Linked DNA regions of Mus musculus. The protein of the gene in region 2 purifies or fractionates together with the protein of the main gene of each other region. This does not show direct contact. Links are inferred from orthologs where the notes say so. Each region holds a gene or a part of one and is shown on either strand. Other genes may lie near its edges.

Region 1 (5,311 bases), on a different chromosome or scaffold from region 2:
TGTTACAAGCCAGCTCCTGGATTCCTCTATGTGTCCAGGTGATGCTCATGGTTCAGACACCTCACTTTAAGAACTGTGGTCTAGAATTAGATTCGGTAGCACTTATGCGCTGAAGTCTGGTTCTAGAGGCTCTGTCACTATTCCTGGGGTCAGCCTTTGTCTCTGCATCCAGACTCATTCCCAGTTCATACAGCCTATTGAACTAAACACCTTCATCTTTCAGCTGCCTGCAAGGTGAGGCTAATGACTAATCATTTTCTTCACCTAGTGGCTCAGACACCTGCCTCAGACTTCTTACTTTGCACAATACAGTCTTATACTTTGTCACGCCGCCTCCCAACAGATGTTAGGCAGGCAGACAGAACAAATATTTTCCTTCTGCTGTCGAAAAGGAAACAGAAACTAGAAGGTCACTGGGACCGGGAGGTTACCCAGCTGCTTCTAGGGCCTTGACTTTAAAGCAGTCTCTGTTAGCCCTGTAGCCACATGATCTGATTGCACCATCCCTGGATTTTACTCCAGCTCTGTAGAGCTATGTGTGCAGATGTGTTTGTTTAGAATACTGTAACTGGGGGCTGGAGAGATGGCTCAGCGGTTAAGAGCACTGACTGCTCTTCTAAAGGTCCCGAGTTCAAATCCCAGCAACCATGTGGTGGCTCACAACCATCCGTAATGAGACCTGATGCCCTCTTCTGGGTGTCTGAAGACAGCTACAGTGTGCTTATATATAATAAATAAATTAAAAAAAAAATAGAACACTGGAACCTTCCTAACACTGTGCCCCTTTAATGCAGTTCCTTGTGTTGTGGGTGACCCCCAACCATCAAATTATTTCATTGCTACATCATAACTGCACTTTTGCTGCTGTTATGAATCTTACCCTGCTATTTGACCCCCAAAGGGAGTCTAGATAGTGGGTAAGGATTTCCTTACTGAGTTGGTTATGGTGGTGTGTGCCTGCAATCCCAGCACTTGGGAGGTCAGGGAAGCAGGATTATGAGTTGAAATCTAGTCTGTGCTACATGAGTCCTCGTGTCCAAAACCTGAAAGCAAGGCTGAGCAGCACAGTGGTGCGCACCTTTCATTCTGGCTAACAAACAAAAACCAAGTGGGGAGGAGTGTGCACACCTTTATCCCAGTTCCTGGGAGGCAGAGGCAGGTGGATGTCTTCATAGGTCAAGGAAGGCTGGAGAGATGACTCAAAGGTTAAGAGGGCCTGAGTTCAAGTCCCAGCAACCACTTGTAGTCATCCATACGGTGATATGATGCCCTCTTCTGGCCTGCAGCCACACATGCAGGCAGAGCGCTGTAAGCATAATAAATAAATAAATAAATAAATAAATAAATAAATAAATAAATCTCTTTTTTTTTAAAAGAGTTCATCACCCTACTTCTTCCCTCTCTCCCACCCCTCACATACAAAATCATTTGAACAGGTCCTATTCTGGCTATCAGAGACAAATGACAAAATCCCAAAGTTGCAAATAACACACACACACTTTTTTTTCCTTTCAACGGTAGAGTAAGTTAAGATCCAAATTAGACTTCCTCTTTGGGGCTCCCTTATGATGTCCTGTGTACAGCTTGCCATGTGAGTTTGATTCTCCCAGGAATTATCAAATTCATCACTATTTTTCTCCTTTAAGTTTCCTTTCTTTTAAATGCAAGGTTTCTGCACTGCATTTGTGATCCTCTTTGCCTCGGCCTCCTGAACACTGGGTTACAGGTATGCACCATCATACGTGATATTGTCTGTTAATTCTTTCGACTCTTCTGTCCCCAAATAAGTCACCAGTTGAAGCCATCTCATCAGCCTTGGGTGTTGCGTGCATTGTTTCCCCCATGGCTCTCCTGGGTTGTTTTTTTTGGGGGGGGGGGCTGCACCCTTAACTGGTGGTGTGGCAGCCAGGTCCAGGTGTTCTTGCCTCATGGTTCTTTCTTTCTTCTCTAGATATGCAAGAGTTACAAAGGAGAGGGCCGCAAACAGATCTGCGGGCAGCCGCAGCCCTGCGAGAGACTCCACATCTGTGAGCACTTCACCCGGGGCAACTGCAGTTACCTCAACTGTCTCAGGTCTCATAACCTGATGGACAGGAAGGTGTTGGCCATCATGAGGGAGCATGGGCTGAGTTCTGATGTGGTCCAGAACATCCAGGATATCTGCAACAACAAACACACTCGGAGGAACCCCCCTAGCATGAGAGGTATGCCCTTTCCCTTTTAACTGTGTGAATTTGCAAATGTACAGAAACCACAGTGGGGCATAGTGACACACACCTTTCATCCTAGCACTCAGGAGGCAGAGGCAGGAGGATTTCTGAGTTCGAAGCCAGCCTGATCTACAGAGTGAGCTCTGGGACAGCCAGGGCTACACAGAGAAATCTCATCTCAAAAAACAAGCAAGCCAGCAAACACAAACAGAAGGAAAACTGCAAGAAATCTGCCTGTAAAATCTCAACTTCACTATCTGCATGCACCACTTTAATACAATTGAAACAATGATGTGTATGCAGTTTTACAAGTGGCTCTATCCCCTCATTTTAAAAGAGCTTATTATAGTCTGGTGGTGGTGGCACACACTTTTATATAACATACCGGCACTCAGGAGGCAGAGGCAGGTAGATCTCTGAGATGGACACCAGCTTGTTCTATGGAGCTAGTTCCAGGACATCCAGGGCTACAGAGAGAAACCCTGTCTTCAAAAAAAAAAAAAAAAAGTTTGCTTGGGGGTGGGACATGTGTGCATCAGTTAATTCCAGGGCTTTGGAGACAGAGGCTAGCCTCAGGAAACTCTAGCTTGTGTCAAGTTGACATAATAAGACTGGCCAGCATGACTGTATTACTTATTATTTTGTGTGTGTATATACAGCCATATGTGTGGAGGTCAGAGGTCAACTTCAGGAGCTCTCTTTCCCCAGACTAACCCCAAGTCATTCAGGCTTGGTGGCAGGCACTTTTATCCACTGAGCCATCTCACTGGCTCTTCTTGTCTAGTGGACGCAGTAGAAGCCAAGTTTATGAAGGGGGTAGAATCTCTGACTCTAGGATCTGCAGTGAAGCAATGAAAAGCTACGTCTCCTGGTACTTAGTCTACAGAAGACTTTGCCCCAGAATCTGTCATCATTACTCCTCACAGCGAAACTGTGATCAATGGCGGGTTTATTACTCATTAACTTCACCTAGGGTAAGGAAAGGAGTGTTATAAGTCCTAAGCAGCTTTAACTCATGCTTGGAAGACCAAACAGTACTGTGAAGATGAAATCAAAAGCCGTGCTTGTGACCCGAGCACAGGAATGCAGCTTCCACACCACAGTGCCCTGAACAGAGAGTGACTGTAGAGGTGGGTTTGTGAGCTCTTCACAGCGTGCGGGAGAGAGCTGCATATCATTGTTACTTCTAGTTAAGCTATGTAGTTAGACATCATGACGGGGGAGTAACTAAGCTAGCTCAGGCAGTCAACGGGTTCTCCAGGTCGGGAGTGAGGGTTAAAAAAGACAGTTAGACAACACTGTAGCATGACCCCAGCCAGTTCTGAGACTAAAGGCGAGTTTATTTTTTTCCAGTCTGCTTTTATATCATTCTGGGTACATACAAAGAATATGGTCAGTCCTTAAGGCGTAGACAAAGTAGTCAAGGAACAAGCAGGGCAAAAATCAAGGCAATAAACAGAGGTCACTGTGTCTAGGGGTTTATCAGGATGGTCCAGATCCAAAGAACACGTTCTTCATCTGTATTTGCCTTGAGCCTACTTCATTGTCCCAGCCTGATATCAAATTCCTACCAAACTCCTAGAAGCAGCCCCAAAAGCTCTCCACAGGGGAGCCTTGCTTTTGCCACAATACTGTTGTCCCCTTTCCTCTACCAGGATAATACACACATGTTCCTCATAAGCAAACAGACCCTACTGCACCTCCACCCCCAGCTTTCAAATGCCTTTCCACAACAGACGTCACCTACGTAGGTACCACGCCAGACTTCACACACTGGGTCACTCCTGTCTTCTCTGCTTCCCAGACTTTTCTAGAGAAAAGATGCTGCTTTATCAGCGTCTCCGGATTTTTTTTCTCCCTTCAATATATATACAATGTAGGGCAGGCTAGCCTAGAACTTGCTGTGTAGCCAAGGCTGGACTCCTGTCTTAGCATCCTAAGCACTGGGATTATAGGCATGATCCACCCCGTCTGCCTTCAATTTCAGCTTTTCATAAGTTTAGGCACTTGTGGTAAATATTTTGGTTTTTGGTTTTTGGTTTTTGGTTTTTCGAGACAGGGTTTCTCTGTATAGTCCTGGCTGTCCTGGAACTCACTCTGACCAGGCTGGCCTCGAACTCAGAAATTCGCCTGCCTCTGCCTCCCGAGTGCTGGGATTAAAGGCGTACGCCACCACGCCCGGTGTGGTAAATATTAATTGGGTGTTTCTACCCCACCTTAAGTCATTTAGTTTCCAAATACAAAGCCTTTATATTTATAATAATCCTTTAAAGCACGAGAGCTGGGCAGATATCAACGCTCTGTGCTATTTTGTCTATTTCCCTGTCAATAATCCTGAACTATCACTTGCCATGTTCCACCTGGGCTGCCTCTGCTCCATCAGGCCGTCCCTCGCGGCCATGTGCTCATGATCCACCTACCCCATGGTACCTTCTTCCTCCTCTCCCCTCTCCCCTCTCCCCTCTCCCCTCTCCCCTCTCCCCTCTCCCCTCTCCCTTCTCCCTTCTCTCCTTTCTCTTCTCAGTCTCTACTCAGAAGCCAAGCCTGGGAAGCTAAGCCCCGCCTACCTCTCTTCAGCCAAGCTGTAAGCATCTTTATTCAAACAATAGTTTCAAATTAAGGATTAAGGTTTTGCACAACAAAAGCTGGCATCTGTGAGAATTCCCTGTCTTGAGACAACTAGACCATTACAGTACATAGATAGCAACAGCCCTAGCCTCAAGAGGCGCTAAGGGAGCTAGAGGAAGAAGCCTGGAGAGTTTGTGGCTTAGACGAAGGCTTAGCTTGAACCTGCAGCCATTTACCATTTGGTTTCAGTGTTAGAAGTGCCTGTTCCAGAACCCAGATCGGAATGCGTGACGTCTCCATGAGTCGTGGACATGTTTCTCTCACTGGCTACATTTCAGCTGTCATTCGCTGTAGTAATGACCGTTAACTCAGAACTAGAGTCTGGAGACACCCCACCTGGGGTCTTGGGGACTGGAGGGCTCACTGAGTCCCAGGAGAGGCCAGAGGAGCTTTGGAGTCCTCCCTTGTCTGAGCCACCCACACGCTGCTGTTGTGGACTCTGCCAGGTTGCAGCTTCGTCCTAAGATTCGCAG
Region 2 (5,805 bases):
CTGTCTGTCTTTCTCCTTGATGCTAGGAATAGGAATTAGACCCATGGCTTTCCATATCCTACCACTGAACCACTCCTCAGCCCTTGCTGCACTCCTAACCCTATTTGTACTTTCCCAAGGTCCTGTAGTAATGAATAATTATATTGCCATTCCACACATTTCAAAGGAAATGTATTCTTTCCGGCCAAAATCTATTTATCCTCACTAATGTTAACACTATAATCCACCAAGTTGACCAAACCATATCTGCATGTGTCTGGAAGTTTTCTCATTTCTGTGGTCCATAAAAGGTAGACACAAGTCTGTGAAGATTGATTAAAGAAAATGTGGTTTAAGCACTTTAAAATGTTGCTGTGGAGAAGTCTGCAGAGATGTGGTTAGGAATACTTATTGCTCTTGCAGAGGACACAGGTTCAGTTTCTAGCACTGATATCAAAGCTTACAACCGCCTATAAGTCTGGTTCCAAGGGGGATCCAAGCATTCTTCTGACTTCTGTGGGCATCCGGTATACATGCATACATTCATACATACACACATATATTCCGGTATACACGCATACATTCATACACACACACACACACACACACACACACACACACACACACACACGTATATTCCGGTATACACACATACATTCATACATACACATGTATATTACATAAGTTTAAAAAAAGACTCGCAGGCTGGAGAGATGGCTCATCAGTTAAGAGCACTGACTGCTCTTCCACAGGTCCTGAGTTCAATTCCCAGCAACTGCATGCTGGCTCACAACCATCTGTAATGGGATCTGATGCCCTCTTCTGGTATGTCTGAAGACAGCTACACTGTACTCATAAACAAAATAAATCTTAAAAACAAAAACCAGCCAGGTGTGGTGGAGCATGCCTTTAATCCCAGCACTCAGGAAGCAGAGGCAGGTGGATTTCTGAGTTCGAGGCCAGCCTGGTCTACAAACTGAGTTCCAGGATAGCCAGGGCTATACAGAGAAACCCTGTCTTGCCCCTACCCCCCCCCCCAAAAAAACAAAAAAAAAACCCCAAAAAACAAAACAAACAAACAAACAAAAAAAAACAAAACAAAACCAAAACCCAAAGGGGGAAAAGCTGCCATGGAAAACATGATGCCATGTTATTTTTACCAATCTTTCACTAAATCCTATCAATTTCATCTTTGAAATGGCTCTTACCCCCATTTAATGTTTTCTCCATCTGCTATTAGAATATGAGTTTATAATTGCACTAGAAGTCACCTATCCTTTACAGAAGTTTGTGTCACCTGTCCATAATACTCATATGGTTTATGATGGTTATATTTTATATTTTTGGGAGTGAGCCTAGCTTTTCATGGCTGAGCTATCTTTCTAGTCTGTGAAGGTTATTTCTAAACTTGAAACATTAGTGATTCTGATAAGTTTTTCTTTTTTCTTTTTTTTTGTAGTGTCATAAATATACTGCTAAATGAATGTGGTGATACACAACTTTAATACCAGTACTTGGGAGGTAGAGGCAGGTGGATCTCTGAGTTTGAGGCTGGCCTGCTCTGCAGAATTTCTGGACAGCCAGAGCTACATAAAAAATCCTGCCTCCAAACAATCAAACAAACAAACAAACAAACAACATCCACCCACAAAACTCACAGTCTTGGAACAAAGAAATTACTGTGAAGCAATGCCAGATATTTATATAGATAGATAGTTTTAAATCTTGACAATCCTACTTGGTCGTTTCTTTCCCCTTTTCAAAGGGAGGCTGAAAGGTTATGTAATTCAGTCAAAACTAGGTAGGTAAGCAAACCGAGGTGTTTGACTCTTACACTGTCTACCGTTTAGTAGAAGCTACACTCTGTCAGCATTCACACTATATTCTGACCCAGGAATTTCTTTTTTGGGGGGTGGTGGGTGGTGGTTTCAAGACAGGGTTTCTCTGTATAGCCTGGCTGTTCTGGAATTTACTCTGTAGATCGGGCTGGTCTCGAACTCAGAAATCCACCTGCCTTTGCCAACTCCCAAATGCTGGGATTAAAGGTGTGCGTCACCACTGCCTGGGCTGTCCCAGGAATTCTTCATCTGACCTCCCTGACACTTCTGGGAGTTTAAAGACATCTTAGGAATCCATGAGATGTTATAAGACAAACTTTTAAACAAAAGGTAAAATCATGCTTATACAAATATAAAGGAATATGGTAAATTTAAGTGGAACTAGTCTGTTTAAAGGAGAAAAGACCAGATCAATATGCAGCATAAAGTCAAAATGAATGTTAACATATACTGGTCAGGGGCAATGATTGGGCAAACATGGTTTTCATCTTTATGTTTTCAACAAGTTACAAAGTTGCAACACTGCCCAAAGACAGTGAATGTCACAGATAATCTGGAAGTAAGCTGTGCTAGATGTAAAGCAAAAGACCATTTTTTTTTTTTTAAATTTTAAATCAAAGGTTTTGTTTGTAAAATCACATACAAAATGTTTCCACAGGTACATGTAAAATTTTCAAAGGAACTCGACAATAATATTTTCCAGGCTTTAAACAAAAAGAAGAGTACCCAAAAGATTGAGAACCAAAGTTGTAGTCACGGCAAACCCTTTAGCGGTCTGGAACTTTGCTCCAAATAATCTTTTAGTGTGAATGTTTTATGAAGTCATTCGGTTTCCCACCACCGCCCGGCTTCGAAAGACTACTAAAAGGCAGTCTTACTTCTTGAGGATTTCCATTCTCAATGAACTCTCCACTCATATTTCTCCTTAATTTCTCATAAACGCACTCAGAACTTAAATTCATTACTGTTAGCCCCTTCTACAACGGCTTTTTCTATAGAGGGACTAGCAAAAAGAAAAGACTGAACTTTAGAATGCAAGTTCTCACAACTGATGTCCTTTGGGAAGACAACCTGCCTAACACCCACAGTTCCTCTGAGCAACCCTACTTCCGCACAGACTCCCCCCCCCCCCCCCCCCCGCAGCCGGGCGTGCCCCAAACACCCCAACCCCAAGCTCGGCCCGCCCCCTCTGTACTGAGCTCCGAATAGCAGGGGCCGCCAGGGAACTGCGCGTGCGCACAACGCACGGCGCCAAACCAACGGCACAGTGGCGACGGGGGCGGGGTGAGGCGGACCGCGGATGGAGGGTGGCCCTCAGGAGACCCGACTGAGAGGAGTTCCCACCTCTACGGGTCTGAGAGGCTCTGCAGGCCAGTAGTGACTTACTCCGTGCTCGTCCCCAGATCCACGGTCAGCGCTTGTGTTCTCCCACGCTTTCCTTCTCCCGACCCCTGCGGTCGGCGGAAATTTGCGTCATTCGAGTAGCGACGCGCTTCTCTCAGCCCGCTACGGAAAGACGGGTCCGAGGCCCAGGGTTCGTTGCTGACGTCATAGGCGGAGCATCTCGGGGGCGGGAGCCACGCGGTGACTGCGCTGGCACGCGGAGTTCCATTGGTGGTTTGCGAACGGCGGCGGGCGGGGCCTCCGCGGTACCGTCCCTGCTTGATGACGTCACTTAAGTTGGCGGGAGAAATTAGAAAGTGGAGTTTATGTCATTGAGCCGGTGAAGTGGAGACTTTTCTCTCCCGTGTTCTAGGCAAGAAGGGTGGACAGACCGGGCGACTTGGCGCGGTTGGGAGAGCACTGGACACTGACTCGCCTCCACGGAAGCGACCCACGAGGCGCCGTTAGAGTGCCGGGTGAGGCGGTCACCATAGCGGCCCATCCCGGTTGTGGGTGTTTTAGGGGCTGACATAGGACCAAGGGGGCCATTATTATTTAGTGATACAAAACCTTGAAGTGTCAAGGCTTGGCAAGTGAAGCTATGTTTCTTTTAGGGATCTGTACTGTTCCTTGTGGTTTAGCAGGCCGTTCGTGGTTTGGAAACTTTCCTGGTTTGAGCGGTGCTGTTCTGAGCTATTGTGACAGTTTTTCATCACTGCAGAGGGCCAGATAGAAACTGTTGTTGGGCTCCAGAGCTGGACTTCCTAACGTAATAGATCAAGAATAGGACCTAAAAGAATAGGACCTAAAATGTTCATTGCTAACTAATTGTCAGGTCATGTCCCTGGAACCACTTGAAGATATGTGTGCTTATGTGTGCTGCTTTTGCATCTGTATTCAGTTCACCATCGACGATTTCAAGATTTCAAAATTTGACCTTATAGTTAACATGGTAGTTACAGTGGCTGCTGCAGCACTGTCCAAGAGATTTTTCTTCCTGGGTGTGGTGGCATATTGCTTGTAATATCCCAGCTATTTCCAGAGGCTAGGACGGGATTGTGCAATATGGTCAGATCCTATTTTAAACAAACATAAAGGACTGGATGCATGTAAGCACTATTACCTAGTTTACATATAGTCCCTTTTGTCAGCCCCTAGCACTGGGTAAAAGAAAGAACAAAATTTTCCTTGCAGAGGAATTATATATTGTATATTTGGCTCTAGGATGTTGTGCTATATTGACTAGGGTATATAGTCAACCCTCTGTACCTGTAATTTCTGGATCTGTATTCAGCCAGTTATAGATGGGAAATAGAAAAAAGTTGTTAGTACTGAGCATACAGATTTTTAAATTATCATTTTTATTTCTTCCTTTTAGACAGTGTCTATCTATGTAGTTAGTCCTGACTGTCCTGGAGCCCTATAGGTAGACAGGCAACCAGGCTGCCTTGAAGTCACAGATCCACCTGACTGTGCATCCTGTGCACTGGAATCAAAGTTGTGTTCCACCAAGTCAGGCTTGTTACCATTTCTTGAACAATGCAGTTTAATCACTGTTTGCATATCATTTACAACCTACTAGGTACAAGTAATCTAGAGATAACTTATTTATGTTAGAAAATATGTGCATGCTCCTATTATATGCGAAACAACTATGACGTTTTATATGTGAACTCAAGTGGCTGGCGCCGGATGTTAATATTTGTGGTCCTGAAACTAGTTCTTGGATAACTAGGGATTACGCTAGCAGGAAAAATTTAAGACACAAGGGGGCCATCTTGTGGTAAGTATAATGATTTTGAAAAATAAAATTGAAGTTGGGTTCTAAGGAGCAGTACATGTTGAAGGGAAAACAATCCATTTTCTGGTATATAGCAAGCCACTGGAGAGATGTTTACAGATTTCTAGTAACTATGAGTTTTACCTTTATTTTCCTGTGTGGTGTCACGCAGTTCTGTCCTCCATGACAGATACAGTTTTGTTTCTCTTGGTGGCTTCATAGTCTTGGAATTGTTTGGTTTCTGTCTCCAGTCAGGATTTATTGAAAAAGTTTGTACTTGATATTTATTCTTTTTATCAGGGTCGATTGACCATTCTTTGCTGTTTTTCATTTTAGAGGATATAAATGCTGACTAAAAACTGATTGTTTTCTGGACCTGACTAGTTTATAATCTCAGAAGACACAATGGAATGTCAAGAGTTTATTGTAAGTTGTCTTCTTCCTCTTCTGCTCCTCCTCCTCTTTTTTTTTTTTGTTTTTCAAGACAGGGTTTCTCTGTGTAGCCCTGGCTGTCCTGGAACTCACTCTGTAGACCAGGCTGGCCTCGAACTCAGAAATCCGCCTGCCTCTGCCTCCCACTTGCATTGCTAGACAGGTTTTGTTTTTGTTTTTTTGTTTTTTTTCTTTATATTTAACATTTGAGGTAGTAACATGCAGCTGGATTGTCACACTTGTTTCTGTATTCAATCTAATTGAATCCAGCACCACATATAACAGCTGGGAACTGCATTCTTCCTCTGACGGAGGTGGAATCTAAAGTTAAAAGCGGTGTGAAGTTGTTCTGACCTCAGATGCTGTGAGCGTTGCGGAGCTGTCAGACTTTGG

What was found. The genes of interacting proteins can lie anywhere in the genome.
Region 1: the proteins of Larp7 (region 2) and Zc3hav1 purify together in Homo sapiens (affinity purification with mass spectrometry; 3 studies listed by BioGRID and IntAct, with this or other methods). This does not show direct contact. The link is inferred for Mus musculus from reciprocal best matches to the Homo sapiens genes LARP7 and ZC3HAV1.

What each region holds. Positions count from the first base shown.
Region 1 is NC_000072.6:38,333,305-38,338,615, reverse strand, and holds part of Zc3hav1 (zinc finger CCCH-type antiviral protein 1), read left to right. Parts: intron 1-1,951; coding exon 1,952-2,204; intron 2,205-5,311.
Region 2 is NC_000069.6:127,549,980-127,555,784, forward strand, and holds the start of Larp7 (la-related protein 7), read right to left. Parts: upstream 3,371-5,805; 5' UTR 3,204-3,370; intron 1-3,203. Other genes in the region: protein ZGRF1, read left to right, coding at 5,386-5,406. UniProt on the Homo sapiens protein: RNA-binding protein that specifically binds distinct small nuclear RNA (snRNAs) and regulates their processing and function.